Linked DNA regions of Schizosaccharomyces pombe. Changing the gene in region 2 together with the main gene of any one other region gives a genetic interaction. Each region holds a gene or a part of one and is shown on either strand. Other genes may lie near its edges.

Evidence for each region.
Region 1: mutations in cdr2 (region 2) and mgr2 together harm fitness more than expected from each alone (negative genetic interaction), as found in Schizosaccharomyces pombe (one large-scale study listed by BioGRID).
Region 3: mutations in cdr2 (region 2) and SPOM_SPAC824.09C together harm fitness more than expected from each alone (negative genetic interaction), as found in Schizosaccharomyces pombe (one large-scale study listed by BioGRID).
Region 4: mutations in cdr2 (region 2) and ime4 together harm fitness more than expected from each alone (negative genetic interaction), as found in Schizosaccharomyces pombe (one large-scale study listed by BioGRID).

What each region holds. Positions count from the first base shown.
Region 1 is NC_003423.3:1,569,641-1,572,902, forward strand, and holds mgr2 (protein Mgr2), read right to left. Parts: upstream 1,280-3,262; 5' UTR 1,213-1,279; coding exon 1,179-1,212; exon of another isoform or gene 1,136-1,178; coding exon 807-1,135; 3' UTR 564-806; downstream 1-563. Other genes in the region: SPOM_SPBC27.05 (uncharacterized protein), read left to right, coding at 106-432; sua1 (sulfate adenylyltransferase), read right to left, coding at 1,845-3,262. UniProt on the Schizosaccharomyces pombe protein: Required for cell viability in cells lacking mitochondrial DNA.
Region 2 is NC_003424.3:1,362,933-1,368,490, reverse strand, and holds cdr2 (serine/threonine protein kinase Cdr2), read right to left. Parts: upstream 3,696-5,558; 5' UTR 3,646-3,695; coding exon 1,318-3,645; 3' UTR 523-1,317; downstream 1-522. Other genes in the region: cyclophilin family peptidyl-prolyl cis-trans isomerase Cyp1, read right to left, coding at 50-103, 169-210, 251-280; cyclin Pas1, read right to left, coding at 4,685-5,558. UniProt on the Schizosaccharomyces pombe protein: Acts as a mitotic inducer. In G2 it negatively regulates wee1, a mitotic inhibitor. Also has a role in cytokinesis where it required for proper septum formation.
Region 3 is NC_003424.3:1,699,624-1,703,458, reverse strand, and holds SPOM_SPAC824.09C (GTPase-activating protein), read left to right. Parts: upstream 1-1,835; 5' UTR 1,836-1,857; coding exon 1,858-2,009; exon of another isoform or gene 2,010-2,053; coding exon 2,054-2,097; exon of another isoform or gene 2,098-2,165; intron 2,166-2,166; coding exon 2,167-2,245; intron 2,246-2,316; coding exon 2,317-2,361; intron 2,362-2,499; coding exon 2,500-3,142; 3' UTR 3,143-3,326; downstream 3,327-3,835. Other genes in the region: heterochromatin (HP1) family chromodomain protein Swi6, read left to right, coding at 1-444; Golgi nucleoside-diphosphatase Gda1, read right to left, coding at 3,751-3,835. UniProt on the Schizosaccharomyces pombe protein: GTPase-activating protein for the ADP ribosylation factor family.
Region 4 is NC_003424.3:745,995-750,612, forward strand, and holds ime4 (mRNA (2'-O-methyladenosine-N(6)-)-methyltransferase), read right to left. Parts: upstream 2,656-4,618; 5' UTR 2,409-2,655; coding exon 1,149-2,408; 3' UTR 543-1,148; downstream 1-542. Other genes in the region: bifunctional carbamoyl-phosphate synthase/aspartate carbamoyltransferase Ura1, read right to left, coding at 1-40; serine/threonine protein kinase Ppk8, read left to right, coding at 3,936-4,001, 4,119-4,618.

The DNA.
Region 1 (3,262 bases), on a different chromosome or scaffold from region 2:
GCAGGTGCTTTCAAGTTTTTTTTTGAATTTTGGCTAAGAAGCAAACGAAAGATTTTGAAGACTATGCTTTCGCAACTTTATGAACGCAGTAAATTCTGCTTATGAATGGTGCATACAACGGTTTATGGACTTGCATATTTATTTTATTCTGGCATTAATTGCATTTTGCTTTACCAGTTGGAGATTGAATCGAAGTTTTATATAAGATACCAACTAATAATGCGTGTACAAAAAGAGACAACAGACGCATTTACATTACAATTAGCATCTAAAGAAGTGATAACATCAAGCATATATAATACATTTAATAATACTAATGAGCATATGTATCTTCAACCCATATGTAACCGAATCTTCCTTATGACAAGCATTATTGATATTGCAAGTTTTAAGGCACAAGTATTGTTTCTAAATATCTTTATGATCAAATAATAATTAGCTTATTTGTAATAGCTTGTCTTCGATCATTTTTTGTAACTATTGCTACAAATATTATTCATCGAAACAAACTAATTTACCAATTTACCACCTAGCAAATTACCCAAATCTTTAAATCGTAAAAATTTTAAGGAAAATTAAATCGCCATCAAAATATTAACAATATGGTATAAAGACTTTTTTAAACATGAACTATCAGAAAAATGCAAAAGTCCTTTGATGTAGCGGCCAAAGCTTTTTAGTTTAAATGCATGATAGTACAATCATCAGTACATCTTTAACTCAGAATTCAGGAGAAACAAATATTGTACCTCATATACTAACAAAATGATAGTATGATACTTTTATTATAATCGGATTAAACGAAATTAGCACTCAGCAACTTCATTTGATTTACGTGGAGAACTTTTGGCCTGTTGCATAGCCAAGGCAAAAATACGACTGGAATTTGCATTTTCATTTAATAATCTTTGATTCCAATGTGAGCCTGACTGCTGTATTAGTGGTATATCTTCGTTGCGAATTACAGAGCCGATGGACATGAAAAAGCCAAAAGTGGCCGCAGATGTTAACATGTATTGACCTAAGGTCCTTAAGAATCCACGTGGACCAGGCCCATAGCGCAAAACTGCTACTCCTCCAAATAAAAACCCGATGCCAAGTCCAGCAGCTGAACCCATAATGGCGCCCATTTTTACTGTTCAGTGTTAATGACTGAATTCATACAATATAGAACTTACGCTTATCCACAGTTGAAGGTTGCATAGATTGCATTTTGAGTAGTTAAAGGTCTTACTTTTATTTAGAAATAGAGAGCACTAGTTTCAAGGGGGATTTTGTTGGTAGGAAAAGTAAGGTAGTATACAGTTATTATATTGGATACCTAGGTATAACAATAGATGTAACAATTTCTTTTGTTAAATCAATAGTTTAGTTTAGGAAATGTTAATTTAAAGAAAACCTATATATATATTTTTTATAAGCCCAGTTTTTTTAAGTAAATGTAACAATGTATTACATCCAGGCATGCGTTAAGTGAGAGCATAGGCTTAACGTTATAATGACTTCTGAATTAAAATAAAACATTGCATTGGCATGTATTGCAATTGCTAAAGTCTGCTATGTATATCTGACATATATAATAAATTAATTCCCCTCGGCTTCGGATTGAATTTCCTACCTTTTGTTATTAAGAAGCCTATCGCTAATTAATTACTAACATGTCCTTAGCGAAATTTAATTGAGTTGCATTCTTAGTTACATCTACAAATGGCAAAGTTCTAATGAGGGAGTGTTGTCATTCCTGCAGCAATTATTTTATTATTTAATAGACAAGTAGAACATAAAAGAACAAAAATGGATATATGTATATATATATATATATATATATGTCAAAAAACATTATTTTAAAGATAGCCTTCGTCAGACAATTGTGAAAGGACAGCAAAAGTAACCTCAGAAACAGAGTCTTTGGGCTTGATGTTTACGGTAGTCCACTCAGCAGGTACTTTAACAGATGCATCAGCATCAGCCAGAGAAACAACAACGGCAGCACCAGCACGTTGCAATTCTTGGGCGTAAAACACTGAAATAGCATCTAAGCGAGGTAAAAGAGTGACATGGCGGCGACCATCCTCGTTCAAGGCTGAAACTAGAGCGCTGGGGAGAAGTTTATCGGAGGTGGCAGGAACAGCCAAAACAAATCCTTGAGAGTATTTGGGAGGATAGGATTGACGTAAAATAGCGACAACCTCTGGATAAGAGAACCACTCAGGGATGTTGGCACCGACGCGAAGACGGCGACGAAGTTCAGTACCACTGATGTTCAAAGTACGGGTACCGGGTTCGACTTTGTCAACTGGCTTGTAGATGTCCTCATCAGGAAGGTAAGTCATCATTTGGAAAGGAACAATGGTGATACCGATTTCCTGAGCGTATTGTTCAACAAGGTACTGAGCATCGTAAGGACCATAAAAATCCTCGCCTTGACTGTTCTTACCAGGACCAGCATGATCACGACCAATGATGAAATGAGAAGCACCGTAGTTCTTACGAATGATGGCGTGCCATAAAGCTTCACGAGGACCAGCCATACGCATGGCTAAGGGAAGAAGAGAGAGCTTGGCGGAACCCTTAGGATAGCGTTGGAGAATAGCCTCGTAAACACGCACACGGGTGAAGTGATCGATATCACCAGGCTTGGTCATACCGACGACAGGGTGAATGAGCACACGGGCACCGTGTTGCTTAGCAGCACGGACGGTAAGCTCACGATGGGCGCGATGCATGGGATTACGGGTTTGGAAAGCAACGACGCGATTCCAGTTGTTACGCTGGAAGTCAGAGCGAAGTTGAGCAGGTGAGTAGCGGTACTCTACGAAATCGAAATGGCGAATAGGAGTAACGGCTTGAAGTTTACCACCAACATACACATTTCCAGCACGACCAAACAAGTAGTCGACGGCAGGGTGGGCGCGATCATTAGCACCAAATACCTTTTCAGCTTCGTTCGCCTTATCTGGGGTATACTTGTCCTCAACAGTCAAAATGGCAATAACAGTTTGCCCATCCCTAGGATCTAATAATGCAACACGATCACCGGCCTTCAAAGAATCGGCCTGCGATTCATTGAGGTCCAAGGTGATAGGGATGGGAAAGACCTCGCCAGTGCTGAGACGCAAATTCTCGACGACATTCAAATAATCCTTTTGGTTCATGAATCCGTCTAATGGACTGAAACCTCCGTTCAAAATGAGTTCCACATCGCAAAACTGACGTTCCGATAGTACAATTTTGGGAAGGCTAGTAGCCTCCTGTTCCAGTT
Region 2 (5,558 bases):
ATTTCAACATGCTTATTTGCACGATGCAAACAGTGCGAAAAAAACTTACAATAACACCATCATAGTATCCTTCTTTTGCTAAAGTATAGAAATTTTGACATGTCTATAAGTTAGCGATTCTACTTTCAAAGCAAACAACACTGTTCGTCCTTTATTCTTGATGCGTACTTTAGGAGCATGTTCTGTATACAATTCAATAAGAATTTTTCCCTAAAAAATGTTAAATGCTTGAGCTTGGAAAAGATCTTACCAAACTTGTTTGTAACTCTACATTAGCCATGGTATTTACTAGTTTTTACACGATTTTCTTGCAGTTTTTCGCTGCTTGTTCAAGTAATAAGTTGAAGTTGCAACCTCGCTAAAAATACTGAAAAGGCAATTGCACAGACAATTTTAAAAGTGCTTAATAATATGTCACGTACTTCATTCCAAAAAAACAGACTCTTTGTACAATGCAGATAACCTAGATATCCTACAACTTCAAATGTATTTCTTCAACTATCGAAGTAAGCAGGTTACATATTGAATTCCACTCAAATTTAATATCATACTAATTAGCATTGAGCGACCAAATACTTAATTGGAATAAATTTAATTTATACAGAACAAGCAGAAGGGTCATAAATTTCTAAACATAATACGACCTATGCTGCAGTTCATTGAAATTGTATCCGCTAGTGCTAGTTGATTGTGATAAATAAGATGAAGAAAAAGTCAAATCGATTGAAATAAACGAGACTAAAAAGATTGTGATTTAGAACGAAGAGTTAGAAAGCCAAAAGAAAAGATTGATTAAGATAAAAAATTTTATACCTAAATTAAATAAGAAAAATGTATTTCAAAAAAGATGCCAGCAATAGCCGGTCATACTAAATACAAAAATTACCTTGCTTCAGACATGCAAGTTATTATCATTGGAGTAAGTTCCAAGTACAACATCACATGTACAAAACTCAACAGGTTCCAAGAGAAACATTGTAGCAGAGCAGCAAAATATAATTTAATCATTAAATGCATTTATTGCTTCCCGGATAACCGTGGTTCCATATAGCAAGTTGAACAAGTAAAAGAAAAACATCAGAAAAAGAATGGAGGTCTATAAAGATATTGTTGGTGTATAAAAAGAGTTCCAATATGGGACAAAATGAAAGCTTAATTCAAAAAGTTCCAATACTTCCACGAGTATACATTATGTTCAATTATCAAACGATTAGCTTTTTTGATAATCCTTTTTTTTCCAAAGCATCACGAGAAAAATGAAGTTTGCAAAGGTTTTGGAGAATCAAAAAAAAATGATAATAATAATAATAAAAGAATTTAACTTTGGACGGATTGTCGTTGACGAAATACAGCAAAAGGACTACTACTTACACTCATTCGAGAAACAGGTCTGGATGCCGAAGCTTGAAAATAAGAGAGTTCCAAATTATCCAAAAACCCCTTATCTTCAAAAATCAGCTGGAATTCTGTAGCCAAATGGTCAAAAGTTGTAGAAGAACCGCTTTCCAACACAAAGACAGCTTGTGAACCAAAAAACTCAGCCAGTACCGATATTCTAAACCGAACCGGTTTAAGATTAAGTGAATTTTGTCGTTTAATACGAGCAGATATCGAAGCACTCACAGAATCATATATAATATCAGCAATGCCGATACCAAGAAGCTGCCATCTTCTAAGAACTTCTAAAATTTCATGTTCCAATTCTGAAGCAACCAAGCTGGCATAGACGCATTTACAAGAAGGCTCACTACTAAATAATCTCCTTAAAAATGATCGTTTTGGTTGAAAAGGTGAGCCGGAAAGCTTTTTCTTTGTAGAAGAAGGAGAGAATAACGATTGTCTTCTTCTATGTTTGGGAACATTCAACGAATCATAAGAGGCTGGTGATTGAGAGAGATCAGCACGCATTGATCTCTCCCCACTAGGGGTACGAAGACGACGAGAGTTGTTCATGGTTGCATTTGCGTATGGTTGATTATAGTTATTATTATCAATATTATTAGAGAATTGTTCATTTCCTACGTTGAAGCGAGTAACTCTTGGATTAAAAGCACTGCCGCGCGGGAAGCTTACGACTCGATTACCAGTGTGTTCGGACATTCTAGAAGTGACACGCTTTCTTGGAGGTCCCATACCTGTCGGGAAATTGGAAGCTGCTAAATTACCAACAATACTAGGGTCATTCTCATTCATACGAAAATCATTTGACATATCCAGTGAAGTAGCGCGACGACTTAGTTGAACTTCCGGATCGTTTATAGAAACGTTAAAGTTGCGAGGAGATAATGCAGAAGGAGGTCGGTAATTTGATGACAGCATTGAACTATCGTGGGGATATGCAAGTCCTGGGGTAACTGATTTTGGGAGTTGAGGAACAGCAGAAGATGTAGTGGCTGGTCGTTGAAGTATGGATTGGGGGTTGGTAGCATTAAAAGAGTAATTAAAAGTGCCAGAAGTGGTAACAGGTGTAAGAAATGGCGATGCAGAAGTAGCAGGTCGAGGAACAGACTCTGCAGCATAAGAAATTGGATAAGGCGCTAAAGTAGGAATATTGATAGCTTGTTCAATTTCTTCCTCGTCCATTTGCTGCCCGTTGGATGCTGCTGTACCAAGGAGATCATCGACCACAGCGCGGTTGCGATCAACTGCAGCGCTGGAAGGCGGATGCAAGTGTCTGCTCAGTAGAGTATATAGAGTTTTTTCAACCAAGGGTGATTGAGATGCCAATTTTTCATACAAGGGCATAGGATCATCGGAACATCTGAAAACTAAAGAGAGATGCTGCACTATTAATGGATCAATGGGTTGTATAGGGGCTGATATGATTGGAATAGAAATATTGGGATGAACAAAGCAACTAAGAAACGGGTGTTCACGAATTTGTTCCATGGTAATTCGAGTAGATGAATCAACATCAAGCATGCGGTACAACAGATGTTGGGCTTGAGGAGAGATATTTGATGGCATTTCAAATTGACCCTGACAGACTTTTAGCAACAAAGAACGAATGTTGTCATCATCAAACGGTAATTTCCCTGTTAACAAAGCAAAAAATATAATTCCACATGACCAAATATCGCTAGCACAACCATCATATGAACGCCCCATAATAATTTCTGGGGATGCGTAATGGGGAGACCCGCAGGAAGTCTGCAAAAGCTTTCCTGGCTGTTGAATAGACGCCATACCGAATTCACCGATTTTGATAGAACCATGGGCATCCAAGTATAAGTTCTCTGGCTTTAAATCCCGGTGGCAGATATGAAGTTTATGACAATACTCCAATCCACACAAAATCTGCCATAGAAACTTTGCCGTATCTTGCTCAGTAAAACTTCCTTTACGAAGCATGCAGTCAAAAAGCTCACCACCTGGCATATATTCGACTACGACAAAGAGTTGCTCCTGGGCTGAAATCACATCTATGAGCTGCAAAACATTAGGATGCTCGATCAATCGAAGCAAAACTAATTCACCCTCTATCCTAGCCTGTTGGCTCGAAGTAAGCTCGGACCATCCTACAATCGGTTTTACTACGGCTAATTGCCCAGTTTCACGATGTTTGGCTAAACGTGATGAATTTGGTCCTCCTGATCCTAAGGAAAGACCAAGCTCCCAAGGTCCAACTTCTGAAATTGTACTCATACACTTCAACTATTCAAAAGAACCAGTAAATCGGTGAAGTGGTGATGGCCAAATCCAAACCCCATTCATAGAACAGCATATGTGGGATGTTCTCCGTAATGCTCCCTAAACTTGTAAGCTATAGTATTTGAGTGCATTTAATTACAACAAAATATATATGTGAAATTGATTTTAACATTTGTAAAATTTTTAGTATATAATTTGTTGTTTTGTCTTAATCCTTCCTACTTGCAACTGTACTTTAGGGAAATATCAGTTAATTTTCGTGATGTTCAAGAAGATACGTATAATTATTAGTTTTTACAAAAATCGCTTACAATTAGTGTATTCAACATTGTTTTAAAGACCGTAATCAAAATTGGCTCTACTAGTAGTACGGTGTAGCAATTACTGCTTTTGTAAATGATCAAGATATTTTAGTTCAATGTTTCACAGTTTAATCGTTGAAAAAATATTACTTAGACAACTCTGTTAAAAAATGATTGAAAGGACTCTTAGAGCCTTCAAATAGGATTGGAGCTCAGTAGTAGATTTCAAATGGCTACATTCACCTGCCTAAAATATATAACTATCTTAATGAGCACATACATAATCTCTAAATAGTTTGACTATTTGACAAGTTTATGGCCATAAGAAATCAACAAAATTATCTTTTTTGAATACCTTGCTCTACTGATATCAATTTACAAGATGCATAAGTAAATATAGTTGCCAATCGTTAATTCATTCATACCATATATACATCGTTTTGCTATTAGAATGTTAAAAAAAGATTCATAGAAACGACAACAATATTTGATTTTTAATCAAAACATTGACAAGTCTAGATATGAAAAGAAGGTAGTAATATAAACCTAATCAAGTTTCCCATATCATGATTATCTTCCACACAATTTGAATAGATAAATCAATAGAAAGAAAACATTATCGGTATTTATTGACATCCGCTGTTAAAATGGCATCAGTATTATGAAATTATTCATTAAATATTATAGTTTTTGAAAGAAGCGGCGAAGACAGCGCAGATTGGGCTTGATAATTAAAAGTAACTGCGACGCTTAGCACTGTGTTCCGTTAAACATGAGTAGTCTTCTTCTAAATGCCTTTTTTGAGAACAAGGTTGAGGGAGGGACGCGACATATGCAGACGCTGTACCCAGATCACAACTCACAGATACGGCAAGTGGTAAGACGCTTGCAAAAGGCATATTAAATGTAACTGGACCAGTAGCATTGTTCAATTTTTGAGCATTATAGCAGTAAGCAACACCTCCATTGGACTTAGAAGTCATTGGCCGATATACTCCAACCTTTGGTGAAGAAGGAGTTGGTGGTAGACTAACTGGCTTAGAAAGGCTTGACAACCGACCCGGTAATACTTGAGGATTTACATAAACTTGCGGTTCCATAAGCGGTATTTGTTCGGGTGGCGAAGCAGTAGTCAAAGTGCGGGACTGATTTGAAGCCTGAATATGTGCTTTACAGACATTCATAGGAGCCAGTTGTTTGGCAATGGGTAAAACAGATGGAGTGGATGGAGGGGTACTGCCAACAGATACTGGAGTAGAAGGTGCCATCGTAAGAATAGGTGATGAGTCTTGAGTTGTTTGAGGAGAAGAGGAGGGCTTCCTCGTAGCCTGATTCTTCAAAGCAGCATTAGCATTCATTCTGCGATGTGCTATCTTCGTTAAACAGGCAATGGAAAAAAGATCATCTAGAGAAGATTGAACATTAGAAAACAAAGAGACCCAATATTGTGCGACGCTGCCAAATGAGGCAACATTAGGATCGGTGGAATCATAACGTGCAGTCGCGTGAGCACAACATTCACCAACTAAAAGAGACCATCTAGCAAAAATATGTTTAGGAACGACAAGACGATAATCGATGCATTGGTAAAACATATATTCCAAA
Region 3 (3,835 bases), 340 kb from region 2:
AATGAGAAAACTATTAAATTCGCCGATAAATCGCAAGAGGAATTTAATGAGAACGGCCCACCTTCTGGTCAGCCGAATGGTCACATTGAATCTGACAATGAGTCTAAATCTCCTTCACAAAAAGAATCGAATGAAAGTGAGGATATTCAAATAGCAGAGACCCCTAGCAATGTTACTCCGAAAAAGAAGCCTAGTCCGGAAGTTCCCAAACTTCCGGACAACAGAGAGCTGACGGTTAAACAAGTAGAAAACTATGATTCTTGGGAAGACTTGGTATCTAGCATCGATACAATTGAACGAAAAGATGATGGAACCTTGGAAATTTATCTGACTTGGAAGAACGGTGCAATATCTCATCATCCTAGTACTATCACCAATAAAAAATGTCCTCAGAAGATGCTTCAATTTTATGAAAGCCACTTAACGTTCCGTGAAAATGAATAATTTTTTTGTGTTCCTTTAAAAAATTCTTTTTCTTTTGTTTATAAATTAGATTTCGCTTTTTTCTGACGTTATTGCTTTTATCAAGTCCCGTGTCGTAGTATGAGTTCTTGTTCTCTTACTCGAAAAATGCATCTAACATTATACTTATACAAATTTTTGTTAGGCGCTTAACATCACATTCTAGTTTATGAACGCCTTTGTTTTCTTTCACATTGAATTGATTACGAGTGACTTGAGAAATGTAAAATACCTTTTGTCGTTATGGTTTGACATTCTAAATAACCTAAGGTTTGACATTCTAGATAACCTAATTTCTTTAATTTTACCATTTATTAATTTAGCATGCACTGCTCTTCATGCATTCAAAATCGTGTCTAATAATAACGTAATTTTACTCGTTAAATAAAGAATTTATGCATGCAAAATCGTTACTCATAAACCTCAGCAGATAAATTTGTTAACAAAAATGAGGGTGCATGAATATCTGCCTTCTCCGTTTCTTCTGTTCCATATGCTTCTAAGTTTGGGTTACCAACTGAACTCAAAGATAGGGTCAAGATGTAGTGTATCAAGTTTGAATCTTTATCAAGTACTATGTTGCCTCTTGAGAAATTCGTTTGAGAATAGCTGTATAGCTAAAGATAAATAAGGGTTTGAATGTAATTGTTGCTATGTAAACACAGTTGTAATTATAGATTTTTAATTGTTGCTGCTTTTGTACATTAGCAAAAAAAAATACAAGCAAGTTATGATGAAGAAGTCTGGTTATGCTATTTTTCTAAGAAGCTGGGATAAATTCATATTTTGTTCCTCTTTTTTTTTTTTTTTAAATATGTTTATGTCAGATTGGCAGATTTACCATATAAACACATAATGGCAAATTATGGCAAACTTTGCAAATGAACATGTATTTATCGAATTTCCTTGTTATCTTTTTTTATTGCTAGCAACACATGAAGACATCAGTCCCCTCTCGGCAATACATATTATCGATTGACACTACTGTATGCTGAGACTGAACAACAGAGTTCTCACTTGGACTTTTTGCTTGCTCCTCAAAGACTTTTAAAAAATTAAATAATAACTATTATATTTCTAACTGTTTTTAATCTAATTATTAGTCACAAGTTGCGCTTTTGTTATATATATGACTTCTATTCAAATTGTGTATACCTCTTTGAACTGCAACGTACTGTGGCTAATTATAATAATATTTAATGCTAAATGTTTTTAACGATGTTGATTGATAAAAAACCGCGTAATCATCAGAAAAGGAAGGATGCTTTTCTTTGCTATTCAAAACAAAGGGACGTAATTGTGCACTGTAACATTGCAATACGGTAGATTGTTCATTGACCCAAAATCACTAGACTTAACCAGTTTTATAATTTGCCTAGTAATCCTTGAAGTGTAATGATAAATTCAAAAAGCAAAAAGAAGGAATCAAATGCCCTCGTTTTAAAGTCGCTTTTGCGGGAACCTTACAACAAAGTTTGCGCGGATTGTAAGCGCAATGAACAACCACGATGGGCAAGTTGGAACTTGGGTGTTTTCATTTGTATCAGGTAAGTAATAGCTGCTTAAAATTGAAATCATTAACACTTGTTAGATGCTCAGGAGTGCATCGAAGTCTTGGAGTTCATGTTAGTCGTGGTATGATTACCTAGGATACAAAATTTAATGTTAAAAAACTCAGAATCAGAAATTAACAGACAAAACTAGTAAAATCTGTTGATTTGGATTCATGGACAGATGAACAAACTGAAAATATGACAAGATGGGGAAATGAACGTGCTAATTTGTAAGTTTGTCTACTTTTCAAAAAAACTTTGCGCTCACGTCCTAAAATATAAAAACTAACAACTTTAATAGGTATTGGGAAGCCAAACTTGCGGGTGGTCACGTTCCCTCTGATAGGTAGGTTTTTATTGATAATCCTTAGCATAGCTGGCATTGAATGTTATCTTTCTAGGCTACATACCCTTTACACGTTGCTAGCAAATTGGAAGCTTCTTTTTTGTTTTTTTTACTGCATATTTTCTGACCTAGATTTAGTAAAATTGCGACTTTTATAAAGACGAAATACGAATTTAAAAAATGGGTACTCTACCCTGAAATTCCTTCTCCGGAAACGCTAAAACCGGAACAGAATACCAGACCTGTTTCAGAAGTCAACGCCTCTTTAGATCTTAATACTGCTTCTCGATCTTCCAGTGCTCACTCAGTTAAAAGCACTTCTTCTGCTACAGTTACCAACGTTACTTCCAAGAAAGAAGCTATATCAGCTACCACTTCTTTAGCCCAGTCGTCTCCTAATTTAGCTTCTTTATCCAAGCAACCTTCTACTGTGCATGCTCCTTCGACTAGACAACGAGATTTAAAGTCTTCAATTCTCTCCTTATATGCATCTCCACGACCACAAGTAAGTTCTTCAAGCATAACCACCAATGCAACATACCAAAATCTACCGTCCCCAGTTTCAACTAGTACTACGTCTAGCCAACCTTATGGTGCTTTTCATCAACCGGCTACGACAGGATCCTCCTTTGTGGCAGATAAGTGGAAGATGCCTATGTTCACTTCTAATGTGACCAGTGCACAACCATCTGCTAGAGCATCACCCGTTCAATCCAATTCTTCTCGGCCGCGATCTTCTTTAGACAGTAAGATTATTAATTCTCATGATGTTTGGAAATAGCCTTTAGTGACGCTTATACAAATTAACAGAGGTTTTTACTACTTATTTTGAAATATTTCATTAATTTAGCTATTTAAGTTCATCAATCGATGTCGGCATTTATGGATTCCTATATTCAACCTTCATTATAATACATTTTCTACTTTTCAGTAAATATAAATGACATAAATGTATTTATTAGGTCTATTATCGCTGAAAGTTTATTAAGTATTAAAAGCTAGCACACATTGTATGTATTCCGTAAAAAGATGCCTACGATATTTGGGAAAATTGCCTTGATCAATTTCAACTTTCCCAGAAATTTGAAAGATTTGATTTACATGAAACAAACCAGTGGAATAAAGAATGTCCCTCAATCTATTAATGTTAGTTGTACAACAAATGTTAGATTTGCTATACGCCCGTAAAGAAGTTAACACTGAAAGGAGCGGAGTAGCGAATTTTGAGACATGGAAATAATATGGACGAATGTAGAAAAGAAAAAAGAAAAAAGAAAAAACAAGAAAAAAAACAGGATCAACTATATTAACCCTTGACCTCCTGAGGTTTTAAGCAAACAAGTTTACATATGCTTGTTGTTCATTCAACATAATAAAAGAAGGTAAAAACTAAATTTCTTCTTTCACGTTACAATTCCAACCATTGTTTTGCTCTGACAACATAGACAAACTAGCTCCCAAACACCATCCAAGT
Region 4 (4,618 bases), 620 kb from region 2:
GTGGAAATGATGAAGACAATGAAGGTAGCAATCCGGACATCGCTTATATCAACAATTCCACAGATTTGAGGCTTAAGACTAGCGATTCCCAGATATTGCTTCTAAGGAGTGGTTGGTCTCAAGAAAGAATTTAAAACCTGAGCAGAAAAAAAAATACTTACGCTTTCGTCAAAGCACAATGTACACTAAAATTTTTACAGATAAATAAAAAAAATTAAATAAATCTATTCTAATTTTTAGAATTCAGTTTCTGTGTTAGGCAGTTTCTAACAATCCTATAGGACGAGAACTGGCAAATCCGAAAGAGTTGTTGGAAAATTTTTTGCTTGTCGTGGATTAACCAGTAGTGCGGTACACTGTGCTACGGTGTATGTTTAGGGTATGACATTTCACTTCCGCTTTTCGGTCTTCGAACCAAGGCATTTTATGAGCGGTCTACTTGATACAAAATTAAAGATTTATATTGCTTACCAACTAACTTGTAAAGGAGAATATTTTCTTTTTTTCTCTGAGCAAATATAAAAGTTTCATGTATGACGCAACCTGTTTTAAAAACACAACGCCATCTATGATTAAATATTGTTATTTTGGTTTACGTAATTTTTCAGCATCGGTATCTACATAACACAGTACTTAGGATATCGGTAATGAAGGGATAGCAGCCGATTTGTGCTTAATACATTAGTCAATGAAAGCTTGGTAAAGCCAGTAAACATATCAACAGCTCATCATAAGAATATCAGTAGAAAAACAAAACGATGTCGACCTATGGTATATTAAGAAAATTTAAAAGTAAAACCTTCGCAATAGTTTTTTTCTCATCACGCCGTTTGAGCTTTTAGCAATAAAAAGTCGAAAGTGGTTTTTTATAAAAAAATTGTATCTTTGGTAGTTTAGTATTTTAGGAACATTAGTAGTGAGCTTTTCCTAATAAAGTTATACTACAGTGAATGAGTTTGAGCTCTTATAGCATAAAGTAGTTTACTCATAAACCATCAGGTAACGTTAAAACGTATTGATTTATTCTACGTCTTTCAGTAGTAATTCGTGATCTGAGATATCTTAAACAGAGAATGGAAGAAAAAATAAAACAACATTTAAACCATGGTCAAAAATTTACCACAATACGAACAATGTAGCATTTTCCATCAATTGTCTGATGACCAGTATAATTCATGCATAAACAACAAAGGTTCCCTCCCCCATGTAATCCAATTAGGTGTGAGACTACGGCCAAAAATTTCTAAAACAGGAAGCGATTCATTTGCCGAACAATTAAACCAACGTGAAATGAAAGGTTTTAATGATGGTTTCCTGGAATGATAATCTGGAATACCAATTATTGTAAACGTTGGAGGGATTTTATCACTATATACAGATGTATATTCTGAAGTAACTCCAATCAAAAGCTGTTCCCAAGGTTTGCGCATGTTTGAATAAACATCAAATAATGGTTCGCCAAATGCCGTTATTTTAAGCCATGTCCATGTAGAGACAAGCGTTAAATTCCATTTTTTAAAAAGCACTTTTTTAACAAAATTTACATACTTTTCCTTATTTGTGCACCAAACTGCCACGACGCCGGTTTTGCTTAACGATTCCTGAATTGGTAATGCTTTTAAATATCCAAGGTTCCTGTTCACCTTATAGACAGAGCTCCTAGCTACAGATTTATTCGGCCATGGAGGGTCTATAATTATGCATTTGGGTTTTTCTAGATGGCCATCAATTGCTTCTAAAAGGATTTGCGCAGTTTTCTCCACGTCACCCATAATAAAAGAGGAACGAGCAGGGATGTAGTAAATTGAATCCCTACAATTAGTTTCAGACGATTCAGTAATAACCTTTGATCCCTTCAGCTTTAATTTTATAGCGGACGCTCCATCATTTTGGACACATTGTTGATAAATCTCTTCCAATCCAAGTTCAACTGTATCTTTAGACTTTATAGTTATAAATGAATATGACGGTGGAATAGTATTCAACATTTTCAACCATTGCAAGCACTGATCCTCAAACTGTATAACCGGTGCTTTAACTAGTACTTTGAAAATGTCTGAGTACCATTGCACTAAAGGAGCATTTTCAGCTTGAAAATGGATTTCTGATGCACTAGTATTTGACCTGTATACGATATCTTGAAATTGAACATGGTGTGATTTATCGGTTGATTGATTGTCATCCAAACTGCGCAACTGTAAAGCACGACGAACTCGCTGAAGGCTTTGCAGTACTTGCCCTACAGTGCCTTTGCCACTGTTTTCATAATCCGAAGTTGATTTTTCGGGGAGTAAATATGGCTTCACGACAGGCTTCGTTCGAGTGGGCAAAATATGTTTATTAAATTGCAGAGATGTTGGCAAGTCAATGAGACAACTAGTGTCGTCCATGTATAATATACATGGCATTAAAAATTACACGAATACCGAACCTCAAACAATCGTGATAAATGAAATGCACAAGGACACCGCTGAATTTCGTTATAGCAATCTATTAAATTAGTAGCTCAAAAAATAGCTTATGTGCGCTCAACTCAAAATAAGAAGTAGCGAGTTGAGTTAATTAAATTCAGTCGGATAAGAATAATTGAAAATACCGCTCTCGACGCGTGACAAACGTGTATACTTTATCGAAAGTTACTCGATAGGTTTCGTCGTACCCATCAACTGGAGTGCAGTTAAACTTATTATGCTTAATACCAAATATTGAAACAACAAATCTCTATTGATATTTTAAAAACTTCCATTTAATGATATTTTTTAAAACTAATTTACGAAAACCGAATCTAGTTAACGTAGTTCTTTCAAACTAATACGGAAACATTGGTGTGCGATTTTCGATACTCCCCACAATAACATTGAACGATATAAAAAATCCAAGCTATTAAGAAGTACAAATTTTTCTATTGAACGAATTAGGTAATCAAAGCATTCATAGCTTGCAAAAACCAATGTTTTGTGGTTAGTCAGCCTTCAAAATGGTAACAAATTTATATGCTGCCAGTACGAAATATTAATTACATAAGGAAAACGATATGCTTAGTCTTACAAATACACACCTACCTTATCTCGCCTTAACGTCTCCACTATCAAGTAAGCAATTGCTGGTGATGACTAAATATATTTAATAACAAGCATCATAAAGATCGTTAGGATAGGAATCTGCAAAAATCGGAGCGTAAATAAATAAGCAGTTAATGGCGTAATGTTTTCACAAAATGATAACCACACTATTATAAAGCCATTACTTTTTTGACGAGATAGCATCATACAATTTATTGATAGGATTCAAGCAAAGGACCTGCAATCAGTATATAAATACGCTTCGTTTTTATGTTCAATTCGATCTTAAATTTTAGTTTGCCGATTCTATAGAACATTTTGGCATTGGAGTTTATGAATTTTTAAAAAAAACAACGCAGTCCGGCATTCTACGGTATTTGCTTTCGACGTTAATATATATCGAAACGTGGAACCATATTTTATTCACATTAATTTCCTCATCGAACCAACTCCGGTTTATCTCCTCGGACATTTATTAGATGAACCTATTCGGCTCGTGAGATTTGCTATATAAACATTACTAAATTGGGAATTGTCGTTACCAATTTTTTTTGCGATCAGGATCGACATTGGGATGCATAATCGTTTCGCTTCGTTTTAGTTAAACATTTTTTTATTTTGCTTGTATTGCATAGACATTGCGCGATTACAATTTTTTTGGTTGTTTACTTATTTGCGGTGTTTATTTTATTTCTTGTCAGTCATTATCAGGGAAGCGGTATTTGTTTGATTTTCTTTCCCGTCATTATAATCGGTTTCACTTAATTTCTGGATTCGTTTTATTTATTCTCCTTAATTATCACTTAATTCATTAATATATCTTTTTTACTTTTTTTTTGGAAAGAAGCTTTTACAATCACAATTCTTAGAGCAATGGCTGTGATCACGGAAGAGAACTCTAATAATTTATTTTGCACAGATTCATTGGAATTAACCTCGGTATGTTTTCTGCCTTTAATTTTTTTAGTTATCTTTTTTTCTTTAAAAAAAAGAATAGAAAAAAATCCTTATTTTTCTAAATATTCAAATATGGTGTACGCTAACTAATGATATTAGAATAAACAGGATGATCAAGTTATTTCGAATTACTTAAAGCCCGTCCGTTCATACCCCTACATTAAATATTCTCGAAGTAGCTTATTATTAACGGCATCTACAACTTTACCCGAAAACTTTGTGATTTCATTTACCAACTCCATTGAGAGTGAAGAGAGCGATAAATCTGATTACCTTCTCGATCATGCTCATAGCTTACAGGAATTATCGACTACTCACTCATCACTATCAAGCACTTTAACATCTATGTCGGAAGAGTCATCTTCCACAGAATCGAAATTTGCTACCCTTAATGATGGCATAAATGGTGGTAATCCATATAGCAGACTTTATCGAAAAAATCCATCTTCTGATCCAAACGATATCCCACCTCAGTTTCACTTTAAAAAGAAGTCTAAATCATTTTATAGTAGCATGTATGATAAGATGAAGATCAGAATTAATATCCTTCCGAACGGAAACGACAATTTTATAAAAAAACGGAACTCCGGCTTCGCTCT